2 linked regions of the Lepisosteus oculatus genome follow. The protein of the gene in region 2 interacts with the protein of the main gene of each other region in a biochemical or structural test. Links are inferred from orthologs where the notes say so. Each region holds a gene or a part of one and is shown on either strand. Other genes may lie near its edges.

The links.
Region 1: the proteins of cacna1ha (region 2) and usp5 form a complex in vitro, tested with the Homo sapiens proteins (2 studies listed by BioGRID, with this or other methods). The link is inferred for Lepisosteus oculatus from reciprocal best matches to the Homo sapiens genes CACNA1H and USP5.

What each region holds. Positions count from the first base shown.
Region 1 is NC_090718.1:2,639,877-2,649,666, forward strand, and holds the start of usp5 (ubiquitin carboxyl-terminal hydrolase 5), read right to left. Parts: upstream 3,954-9,790; 5' UTR 3,598-3,953; coding exon 3,490-3,597; intron 1,778-3,489; coding exon 1,649-1,777; intron 820-1,648; coding exon 753-819; intron 180-752; coding exon 49-179; intron 1-48. Other genes in the region: p3h3 (prolyl 3-hydroxylase 3), read left to right, coding at 5,693-6,002, 7,205-7,389, 8,210-8,362, 9,706-9,790. UniProt on the Homo sapiens protein: Deubiquitinating enzyme that participates in a wide range of cellular processes by specifically cleaving isopeptide bonds between ubiquitin and substrate proteins or ubiquitin itself.
Region 2 is NC_090714.1:12,663,325-12,672,598, reverse strand, and holds the start of cacna1ha (voltage-dependent T-type calcium channel subunit alpha-1H), read right to left. Parts: upstream 4,112-9,274; 5' UTR 4,008-4,111; coding exon 3,915-4,007; intron 2,256-3,914; coding exon 2,122-2,255; intron 633-2,121; coding exon 535-632; intron 1-534.

The sequences.
Region 1 (9,790 bases), on a different chromosome or scaffold from region 2:
CAGGTAAACTTCAAAAAGCCATGTGTGAGCATCTTCCAAAATCCTCACCCTCTCGCGGACAACATCAGGCATGTTGGCCAGGTCTTCTGAGGTCACTTCCAGTCTCTCAGGAAAGATAACAACTTTCACTTCCTGGTCGTACTGATCCTGCTCAGACACGTCAAAGCCTCCTTCGATTCCTGAGCAAAAGGAAGATGAATTAATTCAGAATTTAACATACCTCTTCGGAAGTCAGCTATCACAGAGACATTAAAACACACCCTCATACAGACCTTAGAAACACAATTAACACAGAGATTAATACAGATCCTAATATAGACACACTTAACACAGAAATACAGACCCAATTATAGGCACTAATACACAGAGAGATTAATACAGACCCTAATATAGACACTAGAGACACACCTCACACACACAGATCAATAGAGACTCTAATATAGACCCTAGAGAGACATCTAACACAATAGATCAAAACAGATTCTAATATAGACACTACAAACACACCTAAGAAACACAGATTTATACAGACTATTTATATTTATAGATTACATCTTGGCTTTCAACACAATTGTTCCCACCAAGCTGGTCCTAAAACTCAGGAATCTGGGCTAATGCAACTCTATCTGCAACTGGCTAGTGGATTTCCTGACGGGCAGGGGCTGATCCGCAGACTCTGCTGCCTCTTTTGCCCAGCAATTGCCCACAGGAGACGAACACGGAGCCTCGTCAGGCCCCCGCCACGAGCTCACCAATCGCCAGTCGGGTGGGCTTCTTCTTCGGAGGGTCGCCCGCCCCCGATCCGTTCTCCTCTTCCTTCTGCGAGCCAACAACATTGACAGAAGGTCAGAAAACACTTACCCTGGGGCAATACGGAATGTATTCCCATGAGGGGCAAGGACAAAAAACGAAAATAACGGACGATTACATGCAAGCCCGGTAAAAAAATAAAATCCCTGAAGCAGCAGCACGATCCTTTCTAGGAGAAGAAACTCCATGTGTGCTTGCCAGGCCCTGACAGCAGGAGATGTCTGTATAGAGAGATACACCGAGCACTGGGGCCAGAGGGGTGCTAGTCACCCCATCACCAAGAGGTCGGGCAGCCCTAGTACTTGTACCAGAGGCTGGGGGCCCGGCATGGCGGTGCACATCCACAAACTTAATAACATAAAACAATTCCTTACAATTATACAACGCTTTTCTGGACACGCCATTCCAAGCGCTTCACAGGACACGTGTAGCCCCCAGCTGGAAATAAAAAAGTCGCCCTCCTTCGGATGAGACGTTAAACCGAGGTCCTGACTCTCTGTGGTCATTAAAAATCCCTGGGTGTTTCTTGGAAAGAGTAGGGGTGTTACCCCGGTGTCCTGGCCAAATTTCCCCCTGGCCTTTACCAATCATGGCCTCCTAATAATCCCCATCTCTGAACTGGCTTCATCACTCTGCTCTCCTCCCCACTGAGAGCTGGTGTGTGGGGAGCGTTCTGGCGCACTATGGCTGCCGTCGCATCATCCAGGTGGGGCTGCACACTGGTGGTGGTGGAGGGGATCCCCATTACCTGTAAAGCGCTTTGAGTGGAGTGTCCAGTAAAGAGCTATAGAAGTGTAAGGATTATTATTATTATGACAGATGACAGATGGGGGCGTACCTGTGGCCGGCGCGTCCTCTTGATGTGGAGGAAGGCTCTCTGGCCGGTCCGGCGATAGTGTCTCTCCACAAACTGAGCACCGAAGCCCAGGAAGGTGTTCATGCACACGTACAGGCCCCCCTCGCTGTCCTGGGAGGGAGAGAGATAGCGAGAGCGAGGGTGGTGAGACCGACCGCAAGCCAGAGGAGGCCTCTCGGCTCATCTAGAGCGCGTGGTAGTTAGGGGCTGATGGATTCCAGGAACTCATCGAGCTGTGTCCAGAAACACTCGAAAGGGACCCCTCTGCGGTGATGTCATCACTTGCGGTGATGTCAAGGAGAAAATGCTCCGCCCCCTCCAATTGGTGCTGACTCGCCTGCAGGGCTCTGTGGAGCTGGAGCAGTGGCCGGTCAGCACCCGAGCATTTGAAGCATGTTTTAGTCATAGTAAGTTTGGCTCAGCTCGGGAACAGAGCCAGAAGCAGATGCATATTAATGTGGGTATTCTCTCTCGGTCCAAAGACATTGTCTAACAGTAGCACAGAGATTAGCGTCGCTATCTTGCGGTGCTGGGGCCCTAGGTTCAATTCCCGGGGTACTGTATGTGGGGAGTTTGCGCGTTCTCTCTGGGTTCACATGGGCTTCCTCAAGGGGATCTGATTTCCCTCAGTCCAAAGACATGCTGGTGAGTTAATTGGATTCTGGGATAACTTGGCCCTGGCGTAAGTGTGTGTTCCCTGTGATGGACTGGCGTCCTGTCCAGGGTGGACCCTGCCTTGTGCCCCTTGCTTGCTGGGACAGACTCCCCCTCGACTCTGAATTAGATGAAGCCGTTATAAAAGGGAGACTTCAGCTGAAGGGCTTTCCTTTTCTACTGAGCGGGAGATCGCTCAACACTGAAAGGCCTGGAAATCTGCTAGAGTGACTTGCAATTAAACCCAAACCTCTCCCGCAATGGACAGGTCAGCTTTTGTGGTGCATTTCTCCAAGGAACACCTTCAAGACACGCTTGTGCAGAAGAGGAAGGAGGGAACAGGCCGATTCCTGGCGTTCTGACAGTTTGGCAGAGGGAATCCCTATCTGTCAGATGATGGTACCTGGCAGGGACACTGTTTGGCTGAGCCTGGAAACTACAGTGCATGAATACTGCATTGGGAGACGGAGAGCATGCAGAAACAGTGACTCAGACTACAGGGGTGTGTTGTAATGGACTGGCCAACTGGCACACACACATATACAGACCTGCAGACACAAATTGGCACACACAGACCTGCAGATACACAGACGAACTGGCACACACACACAGACCTGCACACACACACACAAACTGGCACACGAACATGCACAGACATGTAATGGTCTACACAGAACAGCTGACAGACGCTACTACACAACTTTTCGGTCAGGAAGGGGCGATACAGATGTTAGCAAGCGCCTCACACAAATATGAATTACAGAAAGGAAACAACACTACTCCCAAGTCAACCCGAGGGAGTTACACCGCCTAACAGAGACGGAGTGGAGGGATAGTAGGAGCAGACGAGGCAGAAATGGGCAAAAATAGACCCAGAGAGAGAAAATGAAGGCAGAAAGAAGTAAAGAAACACACTGGAACGAAAGAACACAGCGCGAAAATGGGTGGATATGCGGTTCTGGGAAAGACGGGTGAACAGATATTCAGACGATAGGAAAGGAGGGGGAGATTTTTGGACAAGGCGGGCCGGCGGGGGGGGACAGACAAGAGAGACAAACACACAGAAATAGCCCGGAAAAGCAGGAGCGGGGAAGACAGAAACAAAGACGTGGCCAGACGAGACAGAGACGGGGTTCAAGAGGGAAAGACTATGGATGGACTGGACTCACCGGACTGGCGAAAGAGAAAGCGCACTCTTCCTTGTGAACGCTGTCCCCGGGCCGTGGGACACGGATCGTGGACAATACCGACATCAGCACTTCGCCTAGGTCCGACATCGTCCTTCTCTTTTCTGTCCTCTTTTTTTTTTTGGTTGGTCTCTTTCTCTCTCCGGCTCGGTCCGTCTCTCTGTGTCACTGGAAACTGTAAGGCCGGGCGCGCTCCTGAGGCCAGACACACTCCGAGTCCGCCGCGGACGCGCGCCTAACCGTAATACAACTAGTACGAAGGAAGTCCCGTTTTGTCTTAACTCATAATTCCATCCTCAGGCATAAAACGCATTTCATTATGCATCCAATCCACTGATAAAGCTTAACTCATGGGAATGTACAAATAACAAATATGTTAAACGTTTTATATTAAATTTTGTTTAATTGCTCTAATCTCGATGAATATCTCTTAATAGCTTTATGCCGAAGGAAAATAGTGGGTGGCAGTTAATTTTAATAGCATTTAATTGGAAAAAAGTGATTGTGAAATATGCATTAAAAGCTTTCTGGACAGAAGTGAATAATAAACGGTATTAAAAACCTAACAATTTCTAGTTGGCTCTCACAATTATTTATATACATAAATAAGTAAAAGTAAAACAGACTCTGTACACAGGAACTCACATAGTGTTACTGTATTAATTCTAGTGACATTTGGAAGTTGTCCTATGTTGAACTCAACAATAATCTTATCGTTCCTTATATATCTTAAAATACGGTAACGGCTGATCCCGAGAATGCTGCTGCGCCGACAATGAGAAAGCGGAAAAGTCACTCCGGCTGCCCCGGAGAAGAGCCACTGCCACCTAGCGGCGGGCGGAGCGGGTCGCCTCGGTCATTAAGTTCGCTTCGGAAAAAGTTCCGAGTCAGAGAAGCAGTGTAGACTTTCTATGGACTCACAGATTCAAATGTAGACATACTAATTACTGCCTTTTACGTGTTGTGTCGTAAAATAGTAGTAGGAAAAAACACGTAGTAAAAAAAAATTAAATACAATTGTGTACATTAATCCAACACGAATGTTCAGAATCAGAACCGTCCAGCGCTTATGAGCCACATTTATGGCGTTTATTTCGGTTTACTAAGCGGTTCTGCTCCCGTACACTGCGACACCCCCTGAGATAACTGATTAATATTATCTGTTCACGACTTGCCTTACCGAGTTGCAGTAAACGTAATGCTTAAAAAGGCAACAAGTTATCCATCGACCGCCACGTACTAAGCATAAGGTATTGCAACTAGTAACGGCTCCTTAAATTTAAGAGTTCATGTATCACGTCAGCGACCGGGCGAAAACGTGCCTTTATTAACACAGGATGAAGACCCACACTCAAATACGTGCGCAGATTAGGCAGCACAAGGCGTATGTTGTCGTTGTCTGTCGTTCTCCGTTTCTCCCGAGAAGATGGTGCGACTTTCCCCAGAGACGCAGCGAGACAGAGCGAGTTTGTGTCGGTACCTTAACGAATACTCCTCTATGGGGTGGTGCATCGTTGTGTATACAATTTCCCGTTTATTCTTGCACACTTGGGGAATTACTGGCGCTGCCTCCCACGTAATGACAGACGGCTGCGTATGCAATACAGGAGAGCTGAGAAAAGAGTACCCTTTGTGCCTCATTTGTGTTATAATGACTGTATAATTATTGGGGGGGTAGAAAGACTAGGGAAAGTGGCACGTAGCCTCGACACAAAAACAGATTGAACACTTTTCCAAATGAAATCAACGATGAATGAAATTCGTTTTGCCGGCGTTTAAACGTGAGTTCTGTCGACGGCGCAAACTGCAGGGGTCTCGCTGCGACGTGGTTGGGCCGAAGGGCAGAAGAAGAGGGTCAGCAGAGCGCTTTCAAGGGCTTGAGGAATGCGGTCGGTCTGAACTCGCACAGCATTCTTCCCCACCGCGCAGGAGGATACTGTCTTCAGGGTACGACACGGTCCTTCCCCCCTCTCCGCTGTAACTCGACACTCCCCCTTCAATAATTCTCCCACACCGCAGAAAACCAGCCCCGTCTCCTCCTCTCTGAGCCCTTCCCCACAACTGTCGCCCCCCGTCCCAGGAGAAAGAGAGAGAGGAGGGAAAAAACACACTTTAATTTTACTACATCTCTCCCTCCACATCTCTCTGCCCTCCCATCTCCTGGAGGACCAGTCTCGGAATCCGAATGGCGTTTCGCGGAGGAAACACCGCAGCTAGCGACGTGGCACCGGGCTCCCCTCTCCTCTCTCTCCTCCTCCTCCTCCTCTCCCTCTCTGCCCGGGCCGCCGGGGCCCTGCTGGAGCCCGTCGGGGGCCAGCTGCTGCCCTACGACCGCCTGTACTACTCGGGCGTGCGGGCGTATTTCACGCAGGAGTGGGACCGCGCGGCCGAGTTTCTGGAGCGCTCCATCGCCACCCGGGCCGAGCTGCTCCAGGTCCGACGCGGCTGTCACGACCAGTGCGAGGCGGCGGCGGCCGGGGACTCCGCTCGCCTGGGTAACTACCGCGCCGGTGGGGATGCATGTGCTCTTTAAACACTGGCTTGGCATAGCCCACTGCTGATCTTTAACTTCGGTCACTGAAGGGCGTGGACTGACTGGACCGGACAGATTATTTATGATGCGCTGGTGCTTCGTTGACGGGTGATCGGTAACGATTCCCGAATGCTCGGGTGCGAGTTTTTGTCATTGGTTTTTGATGACACCGAAGAAGGCACTTGACTGAAAACCGGCCATCGATGTTTGAGAGAGACGGTACAGGAGAGAGATCTCAGGGCAGCTGAAGAAACGCCTGCTTTTTTATTCTCCTCCAGAGCCCCCAAATTTACTTATTACTCCTGTCACACCCCCTGCCGGTGTCTGGGCTATCGTTCACAGCTCCTGTGACTTGAGTCACGCTTTAAAATCCTCCGGTCAGGCAGTAGCTAGCTCATGATCTCTGCCTGTGCTGGAGAAGCATAGAAGACCCAGCAGCCTTCAGGACCCGAGTCTGGGACCCCTGGGCAACTGTAATATCGTACCCAATTGAAACCGATCAGCACAGATTGCTTTTCCCCCGAGATCATCCTGCACTGGAGGTTATCACTGGGATGAGCGTTAATGATGGATTATTGACAGACTGTCAACCGTGAGGCGAGTCAATAATGTCAGGAATGGATAAAGCAGCCAGAAGAGTGTCTGACTATTCGTTATTGATTATGACCCACACTGTCAATGATGATGTCTGGGAGCTGGCAGGTAATCAGACCTGATCAGCCGCTGGAAGAGTATCTTGACTATCTATTATTGACTGTGATCCACAGTATCAATGATGATCTCTGGCAGTAATCAGACCTGATCATCTGCTGGAAGAATGTCTCACTATCCATTATTGACTGTGATCCACAGTATCACTGATGATCTCTGGCAGTAATCACACCCGATCACCAGCTGGAGGAGTGTCTGACTACCCATTATTGACTATAATCCACACTGTCAATGACGATGGCTGGGAGCTGGAAGGTAATCAGACCTGATTAGCTGCTGGAAGAGTGTCTGACTACCCATTATTGACTATGACCCACACTGTCAATGACGATGTCTGGGGGGTGGTGGAGTGTCTGTCTTAATTCTCAGACGGGTCAGAGGGTGATACGGCTGTAATCGGTTCAGCCCGGGAGTAAGCAGTGGGACTGACTCAAGATTATTGATGCTCGATAGACAGCGCGGATGGGAGTCTCTGGGACCTGGCTGTGTTTGGGTTGGTGCAGCGGCGGGCTGAGTGTCTGAAATTCTGCCTGGAACAGCGCGTTACCCCTTCTGCCATCCCCCCTGTCTCCCTGGACATCCAGTATGAGTTCACCAACCGGAATCCTTATAACTACCTGCAGGTGACCTACTACAAGGTACTGGCTCTGTGTCTGCCATCTTATCTATGGGTGTACACTGCTGGCTGAGTCTGTAACTGTATATCTCCCTGATTGGTTCATCATCTTACTGTACGTCTTGTCTCTATACAGTAACTCCGGGCACCTGTCTCACGTTTGTCTGTTGTGTATCTGTTTGCCTGCATTGATTTCTCATTCTCAGCGCAGTGTGAATCTCTCGTTGTGCTGCAGCTGTATCACCCTGCAGCTCACAACTGGCAGCCCCCCCTGCAGCTCACCAGGTGTGAGCCTGGCCAGTACCTGGATGGGAGACCTCCTGGGAAAAACTAAGGCTGGTGCTGGAAGAGATGTGTTAGTGGGACCAGTGGGGGGCGCTGGTCCTGTGGTCTGTGTGGGTCCTAATGCCTCAGTATAGGGACGGGGACACTGTACTGTAAAAAAATTGCACTGTCCATCAGCTGAGAGATTAATCTGAGGTCCTGACTCTCTGGGGTCATTAAAAATCCCAGGGTGTTTCTCAAAAAGAGTAGGGGTGTAACTGGTGTCCTGGCCAAATTTCCACCCTGGTCTTTACCAGTCATGGCTTCCTAATAATCCCCATCTCTGAACTGGCTTCATCGCTTTGCTTTCCTCCCCACTGAGAGCTGGTGTGTGGGGAGAGTACTGGTGCATCATCCAGGTGGGGCTGCACACTGGTGGTGACAGTGGGATCTATTTCCTGTAAAGCACTTTGAGTGGAGTGTCCAGAAAAGCGCTATAGTGTATGGAATCATTATTACCTCCACTCAGCCTGTAGGGCCCTTGCGTTTTGTGTTGACCTCCTCCTCCTCTCTTGCAGCTGGGCAGGCTGGAGAAGGCGGTGTCAGCCGCCCAAACCTTCTTCGTGTCAAACCCGAGCCACCTGGAGATGAGGAACAACCTGGAGAAGTACAGGAGGATGAAGGGAGTGAGGGAAGAGGCCTTCTTCGACAGGGAGAAAGAGAAGCACTGGGTGAGTGAGAGAGTCAGAAATCCCACCCCCTGCATGGGGATGCAGGTCAATACAACACAGGGAACAGCTGTGCCACACTGTTGGGCCCGGTTCAGGTGTGCCAATGCCTTCAATAGCCTTAAGCCTGCGTGTGGAAGGATCACATATCTGCTTACCCTGGCCACTAACTTCAATAGGAACTGTCACCAATGCCATTTCAAATGCAAATAATATGAAATATATCCTACTGCACAATCCCTGCTCTACTGTTCAGGCAATAACAAGTGTGAGTAACACACTTACAATAAGTGCATGAAAGCTACTCCAATTATACAGAAAATAAGCAAAGGAGTTAGAAGAAATGTTCCTTAATTTACAAAAATGAGTTACTTTTTCCGATTGCTTTGGTTTGTCCGCTACTCACATAGTAAAACTAACATACGTGGCACATTTCTTCATTCTCGTCAGAGGAACATGTCCTATTGGTCATGTTATTTTAACTCTGCAACCTTGAATCCATCCATTTTCTAACTGCTTTATCCAGCAATGGGCACAAGGCAGGATACACCCTGGGCAGGATGCCAGTCCATCACAGGGCACACACACTGACACCAACACACACACACTCACACCGGGCTGTCAGTCACCGGGCAGGTGCTTCATGCCAGCATGCTTTCGGACTGTGGGAGGACACCAGAGCACCAGGAGGGAAACCCACGCAAACACGGGGAGAACATGCAAACTCCACCCAGACAGTACCCCAGGACCTAAACCCTGAGCCCTGGCACTGCGAAGCAGCAATCCTCACTGCTGCCTCTGTGCTCATCCATGCCAGAATCAGAGCCTGCCACCTCCTGCATTCAAGCTCTGACAGGACAGAAGGTCGAGTGGTCTTGACTTCAGGTGAAAGGGTGGCAGCAGGTCCTGTGGTTGAGATATAATCAAGCTTTAAGCAGAGTACCATGAGCTATAGTACAATGCATTTGCTACAGTGTAGTGTAGTGTTTTCTACCGTTTAGTACAAAACAGTTTAGCACAACATAATATTCTACTCTCCAGTACTATACTACAGTGTTACTGCAGTGCTGTATTACCCAGAGTTTGTAGCTGGTTCTTTGCACTTGTGAACTGCCGAGTCCACTTTGAGAAACTAAGTGTTAGACTGAGTGGAAGCAACTGTTTCATGAAAACAGGTGCCTTTTTTTAAGTATGCTGTCCACCTGCTCCAGACACTCTTGTGTCTCATGGAATGAAGAAGTACAGTATCTCTCCATCTCCTCCACCTTGTCCACTTCTCTCTGCCTTTCTCCATATCTCTCCCTGCTTCCAATACCTCCCAATACCTCTGCCCCTTCTGTGCTCAGACCCTGCATGACTCCGGCGTATTGGCTGAGAGCATCTCCGATTGGCCGCGGGCGGCAGAGGCATGGAGGGAGTGTGTGAACGAGA
Region 2 (9,274 bases):
TTAAAAGAAACCCGCTGCGTCTTCATCATGTCACCAAAGACCCAGCTATGCAAACTCTAAACGCATGGGTTCAGAAATCAGCCTTATAAGAGCACATTCCTTACACATCGGGCTGTTGCCAAGCTCTATCATGTAACCCTTTGGAATTTCTTTGGCTTGAAGTCCCTGGCTTGGTTTCATCAATATAACAGGCAGGAAGGATAAACCAACTATGGGACTCTTTATGCACTCTCTTCGAGCAACAACAACATGACTCAGGTTTTTAAAATGCACACTTCTTCGAGACATGCTACAGTATTTTTAGATTGCACCATTTCGAATAACAGAAGGGCAAAACGGTTTAACAATTCTGTTTCTGTGTAGATCTGTGCTGTGCATGAGAGAAAATATAATAATAATAATAATAATAATATACAATATAATATATTTAGCAAGTGTGTGTATATGTATGTCAAGAGTACATCCACTTTTTCTTGTTTCCTTTCCAAAAGCATGTGTTTCCGAATAAAAGGCTTGAGCAGAAAAGGCACTTACTGGGAACTCTGTTAATGGCTCTGAGTGGCCTGAGCACACGCACAGTGCGGATGGCAGACAGGCTGACATTGTGGCCATCCAAAGAGTACTCCATCATCCTGCACAGAAACAGCAAGGAGGAACATCACTGGATCAGCACTTAGACTGTATATCAGGGACAGCTGCGGAACACTGGCAGAAAAGGTTATATTGCTCAATTTCCTGGCAGTTCTTCAGGAAGACTATTTTTTATGTGTGTGACAAATGGTATATTGCTGTATATACTGTATGCTGATTTGTAGAGTATACTTCACCAACTCTGAAAAAAATAGCTGCATTGTATACGTATCTGATAAATATTAATGGAATCCCATATTTCCATTCCTAAACATTTAATGTATTCTGGAAAGGCATGCGCATGTGGCAGTCGTCTCAGATCGGGTCTTTTATAAACACCTAGGTCCTGATTTTCTACCAGTGGAAAATTGATTAACTGATGAGTAAGGGTTCACTGAAATCCCCTAATAAGAAATTGGCAGGCAGAAGACAAAAACAGTCAAATCCGTGGGCATATTTTTAGAATATAAATTATTTTTTTGGTCTAGGGGTTTGTAAAACTGCACAGACGTGGTGCTACTCTTTTGAATGCCTCTGAATAACTTTGAAAAATAAGGCCCAAAGTTATAATGAATGATAAGCCTTCATAATATGCATCAGTAATTCAAAATGTAACACAATTTCCTATTGAGCCAATACTGCATGCAGATGGAGAAAGTGTTCGACATGTGCTTCCCTTATTACTGAACGCAAAATTACCAGGAACAGCTGCTGCTTTTGATGTGAGACAGGTAAAATTAATCAGGAAGCAGAATTAGGAGAGAACAAGCAGGCAGCGAGAATTGTCTTGGACTTTAAAAGTGTCGTGCAGGCAAGAGCTCAGAACCCATGGGGATTCCTGAGCGGCAGAGTGAGGTGTTGACTTGACATTAGTGGTGACATTAAACACAGCCTTCCCAGCCTTCTCTTCCCTTGCTTTTAACACTGAGGGGGACCAGGACTCCTAGGCCAGTAGAACATTTTTCTCCCTCTCAGTCCAGTGGGGACTGCTGGTCTTTAAAGTGCTCTGCAACGAGACTACTAATTGTTTCCCTCTCTTTTTCTTTGAGTATTTTGGTTTGATTCCTTTCTTCCCCGATGCGTGTTCCTCTGCGTGCACCGTATACATCCAACAAGCGGAATGCATAATTATCGAGCGCTCAGCTGTGATGAAACGGATTCATGAATAACTGAGACGGATAACGACGTTTACCTAACATTTTCACAGACAACTTCAGCCCTGCTCAGCTCATTAGCAAGTGCTGAGCTCTCTGCGTCACAACTTCTACATTTCCTCCGGAGGCGACAACACATTAGAAGAGACAGGCTCTCCGGCCAAATTCTCTTAAGGATAAGCTTATGTAATATTTGCAAACTATGCCACATGTAAATGCCAGAGCACACATTGGCAGCACTTTCCAATATTCAGGGCCATTCTACTGTTGGGATTTTCCCCTGAAACGCAGGAGAGACAGGCGTTCTGCATTGTTATTCTTCTTATGGACCACTCACCCTGCCATAACGATGAAGAAATCGAGACGATTCCACGTATCGCCCAGGTAACACTTCTGCCCAAATATCCCTAGAGCCAACATCTTGATGACCATCTCCACGGCGAAGAAGGCAAAAATAAAGTCATCAAACGCCTGCAAAGAAAAACAATGAGTTGGACCATCAGCAGTGTCTGACATTACGATTCCTTCCAAAACAGTTCATTTTTGAGGGTTCTGTGCCACAAAGTCAACAGATCGAGATTTTTAATGGTAAGTCTTGGCAGGGCTTCTGGAAATAGGGAGGAGGATGGTAAAATAACTTTGAATAAAATAATAATGAGGTAATCGTAATGCTAGAGAACCACTAGGAATAGGAAAACAAGACTTTATTGGAACACTATAAATTACAGATGAGCAAACTCCAGTCACTGTCACCCCTCACTGCTTAGGGAAGACTGTGCAAATGTTCAAATGTGGTATAACAAGTTGCACTATATGAACAAATGAGCTACAAGTAACCAAGTGTGCAAGATCAACAGAAGTGCCTCTTCGTAAACAGTGTTTCTTGTACTGTTTTGTTGACAGAAACTGGGAAACTACAGGCTGACCTTTTTATGAGGGATAGAATTTAAAGATCCTGTTATCAACAACCTCAGCTACCTCCCTTTAAGTACTAAATGCAGAGAAGATACTACTTTATATGCACATGTTAACAACCACCAAGAACCAGATAAACAAAGTCCTCTTCCTGGACACAGGAGTGGAGCAGTTAGAATGTCCAGCCCACTCCTGCTGCCCTACAGCTGCCTGCACTGCGATGGCACTGGATGGCATCCTGGCTCCAGCCCAAACCTCAAGACTTTCCCACAGTCACAGTAACCAGCCCGAAACGAGAATACAGGGAGAAGGGACGGGTCACCAACCGATATATCTGCAGGGTGGAATCAGTCTTTCTTTTGCCTGGGAATTTGTCACCGTAAGATGTCACCAGAGCTTGACATGTGCCAGAGCTGCAGAGGAAGCTCCCTAATTCGGTGAAAATGTCGCCCGAGGAATAGTTAAAACCACTATTTAACAGAATGCGCGTACTGTACGTCTGAACAGAACAGTGGGTCTAGGACAGAGCTTGAAGTGGTCCAGTACTGTCCGGTACATAACGCCAACACTTGGAAATTTGGGATTTTTGCATTCTGACACTTCATGTTGAGTCCCAGAATTTTTTAATGATTCAAGGAACTAAATCCACTCCCTACTACCTGTTTGCAAACTGTAATGCTAGATTCAAAACACCTTTGCTTATAGTCCGCCAAATAGGACACTGCAATGTGGATGAAGTTTTCATCCTGTATGTTAATTTTTTGAATAAATATAATAAAAAAAACCATTCCTGAGCTCTTTTGTTTTTTCCAGAATTCATATGGAGAACTCCAAGATGAAGTGAGGCAAATTTCTATCTTTGCACCAAAGACAGGGCTTTTTTTTCTTGTGCTATTCTTCCCAAAAGCTAAACTAAATAAACTGGACTTTTTCCATCAGATATTTTCCTCTACGGGTTTATTTTTTTTAGCTGGTGTGGCTCAAACTGTTAGGCACAGTACACATAGAAAATGGTTTCAAGAAGGATCACGTGCTTCAGCTAAAGCAAAGACTCAATTAACTATACAGTAGGTCTATACTTTTAAGGCTGTAAAGCTTTGCTAAAGATGTGACAAGAGAGGTATTTTCTTGTACGAAGCAACCTACAAAACGTGAGAACCTGCTGCCCCACTGCCCAGTAGAAGGTATGGAGAGTACTTCTCCGTCTGCACTCACCTGCAGGATGGTACACCAGTCAGACTGACACTTGAGGTCCTCACAGGGCTGGTACATCCCCAGGGTCACGCAGTTCAGGAGGATGACCAGCATGCTGACATGTTCGAACCAGGTGCAACAGGAGTCAAGGAAGGGGCTTCCATTAGACACAACAGTGGCAGTTAGCACAGGAAAGTAACAAACCGGCAGTACATGAAACTCTTGGACGGAAAAAAAAAACAAGAGTTGCTGTTTTCCTAAGTCGGCTTGCTCCCTTATGAATTCCTGTTAATTGCAGTACGTGGTGGAAGGGGGGCATCTAGCCTGAATTTTCGACATCTTTGAGAAGGGAGATCAATTTAGCAATGAAAAACTGCATGCCAATGAGCTCGGAAACCTTTTTTGTTCCCAGTGCATTAAAGCTGTGGGTGCTAATGAACTTTTATTTGCTGAATTGCAAATGAATTTATCCTTTTTAAATAATAATAATCTTAATGATAATGTTCCTAAGAAGGGATCATTAAATGCTGGAAAGCAATGGTGCGTTTCCATAGAAAAAGCCCAAAACACATGGTCTCCCACATGCATCTGCCTTGGGGTTTGGATTTGGCGAGGAGCTGCCGTGTCCAGGAGGAGCAGCAGCAGCAGTGCTCTGGACTGCGATCCTGAGAGAGGGGAAACCTGGAGGATGAAGGACACGAAGGACATCAGGGGGGCGGAGTGGTAGCACTGTCCTAGAACTGTTCACTGCAGCCCAAAATATCCTAAACAGGACTGCAGCCCAAATAAAACAAAAGGAAAAAAACCCCAGCATTTTCACTGCTTTCTTAGTGTACTAATCAATTTCAACCCCTTTTAAAGATTCTCATGCTATACCTGTAGGCAAAACACTCACATACTGTAGCAGCGGCGTGTCAGTTCCTAACAGGATTTCTTCTACCCAAAGATTTATCTCTTGTGTTCATAAATGCATATGATATGGAAAATCAGAGAGGTACAGTATGTCTATCCCACTTTAATCCCATTCTTTGTTTTCCTTACCAAATGAGCAAACTCCTTCAGACCAGGAAACAAGAGATTTTGGTTTGGTGGTTTGTCCCCGTGCTTGGAAAAGACATCTTATTGTAGTGAGCTCAGTACACTAAGTACTCTGATGAAAGAGGCTGTAACTCGTGGGCACTCCCACTGTAACATAAGCAGTATCAAAATGCTTTCGAATGTAACCTTGATTATCACTGCATGCGTACAAAGGGAGGTCTGCCTAAGACGTCATATTCAGGGGAATTCTTAACATCAGAACAAAACTGTCAAGGCATCACAGGAAATGGAGAGTTAATGAAGTGGTGTTTAATTAGGAATGTTAATACAACTAATAGAGTTAGTTCAGGCACAGTTTAATAACAGCTCATCATTCACATGGGAGACTATTTAAAGAGTGACATGTACCCAAAGTCATGTGGCCATTTGTTGTAAACAAGAATTCTACACCCGCTGGCCTGCTTTCCAAAACGCCCGGCCACTGACAGAGAAAACTGCGTGATACCAAGATTTGAAAAAAAAAAAGGCGTTCAACTTTTTTTTCTCTGTGTGTGTGTGTGTAATCCCAACTGTCCTCAGCACTTTATTTTGAATTGGGCCTTTGTGACAAAAAAAGTGCTGAGGACAAGGCAAGTTCCTGAGGCGGTGAAACATTCAGATATAACAGTCGCTGGAATAGTAAGCATCAATTCCTGGCAGCAGAAACAGATATTAAGCTGTAGTTAAGAAGGTGATAAGACTGCTGACCCTGGTCATTTCAGTATCGAAGGGTCTGCATACCCACTAGTGTTTCACAATGATCCAGCACGTACAGTACAGTGTGATCCAGAACAACAGAGCTATGCTTGCCTCAAAGCGTCCAAGGGGACATCTTGGCACAGAATATTGTAGTGGTCAGACCTGAAGAAGTCTCCACAGCTGAAACATTGTGTTATATTTCTTCTCTTTCCAGCACGGAATAAACCTATTACTTGTTCTTTTGCAGCCTACGCATGCTGACGCAGCTCCCCACCTGAACTATAATAATATTATGCCTCAATAAACAAAATAAAGAGAACACATTGCATACTGTACTTCTAAGTTTTGAAAATATATATGATCAAAACGTTTGTCCCTTCGGTTAACAACCCCAGGATGCAAAAGACAGGAATGACTTCCTCCTAGTGAAAGCTCTACCTGATAGCTCCTAGCTGGCCAGAGGAGAGCAGGGAGGGCATTAGGGTGACGTGACATCTCCCATCCGAAAAAAAACCCAGCACAGCCTTCCAGTCACGCAGGCTGGAACAGAAACATGGCCTGTTCTTACAGCACAGCACTGATTCGCAACGCAGGCCCCAGCGATGAAGACCTTCTCTGTCAAGACAATCTCTCAGTACTGTCGAATATCATCTGAAGGGAGGTCTTCTGCATACCAGCAGCACACAGACGCTCAGAGAGACAGTGTCAAGTTGCATTACTTCAAATCACTCATGACTGATCTTTGAAGCAAATACAGTGAATCCTCGAAGGTTGCAACAAGCTTTCTCAAGGCCAAAACGATGAGCTCAGACTAAGCAAGAGAAAGAGGATTGCTGCAAGACTTTTTCTGCATTAAGAGGGACATAAAAATATGTATTCAGTATGCTGTACTGATACATAAAGTGAATAGAGTGCAACCCGTCTCCTTAGAATTTAGCAAGTGCTGTGGCACTTTACCTGAGCTCAGTCACTGACAAAAACAACAGTTATTTCAGTGCAACGAAGGGTTTAGCTCACAGGCTGTCCAAGTCATACTCGAATGACTGTATAAAAAACAGGAAAAAGAGAATAACCTGCAGAGAGAGGGAGATCACATCTTCAGAATTCACTGTTGAAAGAGTTTTCAACACCAACCACAAACAAAATAGGACACTGGGTCCCACAGTAAGATACTGCGATTAGCAATCTGAATTAATCCAGACAGCCAATACATAATGTAGATCACATTTACTGGACTTTTGCCTGAGGGATGGGACTATAGCTGGAACAAACCATTTTGGTGGTTTGACAATGTCCTACAGGACTTGTTTCATATACACCGCAGGCTTTTTGATGGATGCTTTGAATTACACCATGAGATTTCCATGTTAGCACGGGGTAATGAAGCTTTGGAAAAATGCAATATTAAAAACAAGCTTTAGAAACCCTGATATTTTTTTTGCCCTTCAGAAATATCAGTCACACCCAGCTACAACTTCTGATTTATGTCTAAGCCTTGAATTTTTTCTTCTTAGTTTCCCACCAGTGCTGTTCCACTCAGGGGACTGAACCTTTTTTCATTTTTTCCCATCAGTTTCCAGTTCTGAAGGCAGGAATCCAGCAACTCTTTCCGCCTGTGACAAAGAGGGAAGCGCTCTCTCACTTCAGAGCAGAATGTGCCTCTGGTGAAGTGATGGGGGCTGCAAATTGGCTGATCGGGATAATTTCACCACACAAGGAAGAGCACAGAGCTCTCCTGCACTCGCAGATTAAAGCATGGCCTTCATAATAACATACGTGAGGCCAAAGAAATTCCTTTGGCACGACACTTCAAAAAATCGTTTCTTGTGTCTTTCTCAAAATTGATCCCCCCCCTCCCCCCCAAATAAAATTCTCCAAAGCTCAAGTAAAGCTCAAGACCATTAATAATTTCTCAGCCAAGCATAGCAGGAGTTGAGGACATTTCTGCCATCCATTTAAACAAAGGAATCAGCAGTGTTCAAAAGCCTTCGCCCTAGAGGCAGAGTATAGCAAACAGCTCACATTAATTTTTTTGCATGAATGTAACACTCTTGACGGAACTCCGACTCCAATGCACATCTACAATCTGAGCAAAAAACAATCCTCCTAAAATCCTGTAATGGTTCATGCAGTCCAGTGCTTAGGCCTGTCGTGGATGACCTTTTAGGACAGCGCCTACAGTATCTACAAAAACGTGAAGCTGCATCCTTATGTATACACTCTGATCGTAGCCTGATACTCATAAACAGAAACCACACTTGGGTGTATATACAGTTCCGGTCATATAACTGGTATTATTTTTCAAGGATGAAAAAATTCCACTTCTACATTCAGTTAAGCAAATAGCATTGTAAAAATTAAATGGCACTTTTTTTTTTAAATTGAGCTGCAATAAGGTTGTAGAGATACACAATCTAACTGTGTGGATAGCCTGACACTAAACTGATACTTCTCTCGCAGAATTAATGCAATGTTAGCCTTTGTTGCATTATATCTCATATATAGTATAAAATCTCTGAGGGAGAATGAACAGCCTTTGACAACATGAGTTATTGAGAGTCTTGCTTACTAGTTCATCTTCTTTATTCTACAAATGAGACTTGATTTTATTTTGTTTGATGTTTGTTTTCATTATTCATGCAGATTCAATTACCCCAGCAAGATAAACGTCTTTGCTGGGCTGAGGGATTGGAGGACTGCTGGGAGGAATGGAGAGGGGGAGGCTGGAAGTGAGCTGGAGGTCACTCCCAGCATCAGGGCCCCTGGGAGCAACAAGCTCACACAACCCCCCTCCGAAACCGAGGATCCAACCGCAGGGAACGGTTTTCCTAATTCTATTTTTGCCTTGAACAACTGAGGAGACTTCTCCTGACATGCCCATACTGATCAGAGCCCAGAAAGGCAGGCACACTTTAAACAAAGGCCACCAATAACTCATTTTTTATGCATTTGCAAAAAAAAAAAATTATCTCTACAGTGCGAGCTTATGCAGAATTCTCATTAGCAAGTTTACTGTGATTGCTTCTCCGAATAAATTTCCATGTTAAGAAAGTTGCAGACACTGCCTGCCAGCACACTGCCGGAGAAGCGATTTGTGAAATACTTGAACCTGCACTGCAGGCCTAAGACAGAGTCACATCGATTCTGCTCTGATGCTACCAAAGACTGGGAAACCGGACTGTCCATTCAAATGGCATTGCTGTCAGTCAACCATTTCTCTGTTGACGTAGAGTGAAAAGAGTTTTTCTGTAACAGGCTAAAGAAACCCTTCAACGCTATTTCACGCACTCTTTGATCTTTAAAAGATTAAAACCATGCAAAGCCGTGCTTATCTCAATGTGCACTGATCCCAAAACAGATAAAGTCAAACTCGAAGCTATGACACCACAGGCATCAACAGTAACTCTAGAATGTAACTTTGCCCCCTTCTCCACTTTGAAATGATCTACCAAGATCATTTTATTTATTGTATTTCTTTGTCTCAAGCAATTACCTCCCCCGAAGCCTTCTCCTTTCAATTTTCAACAAGGTCACGAAAAAGGTTAGAAAAAAAATTAGAGGCCTGTTCAGGCCTTTTGGCAGTTTGTAGTCTATGGATCCAAGGA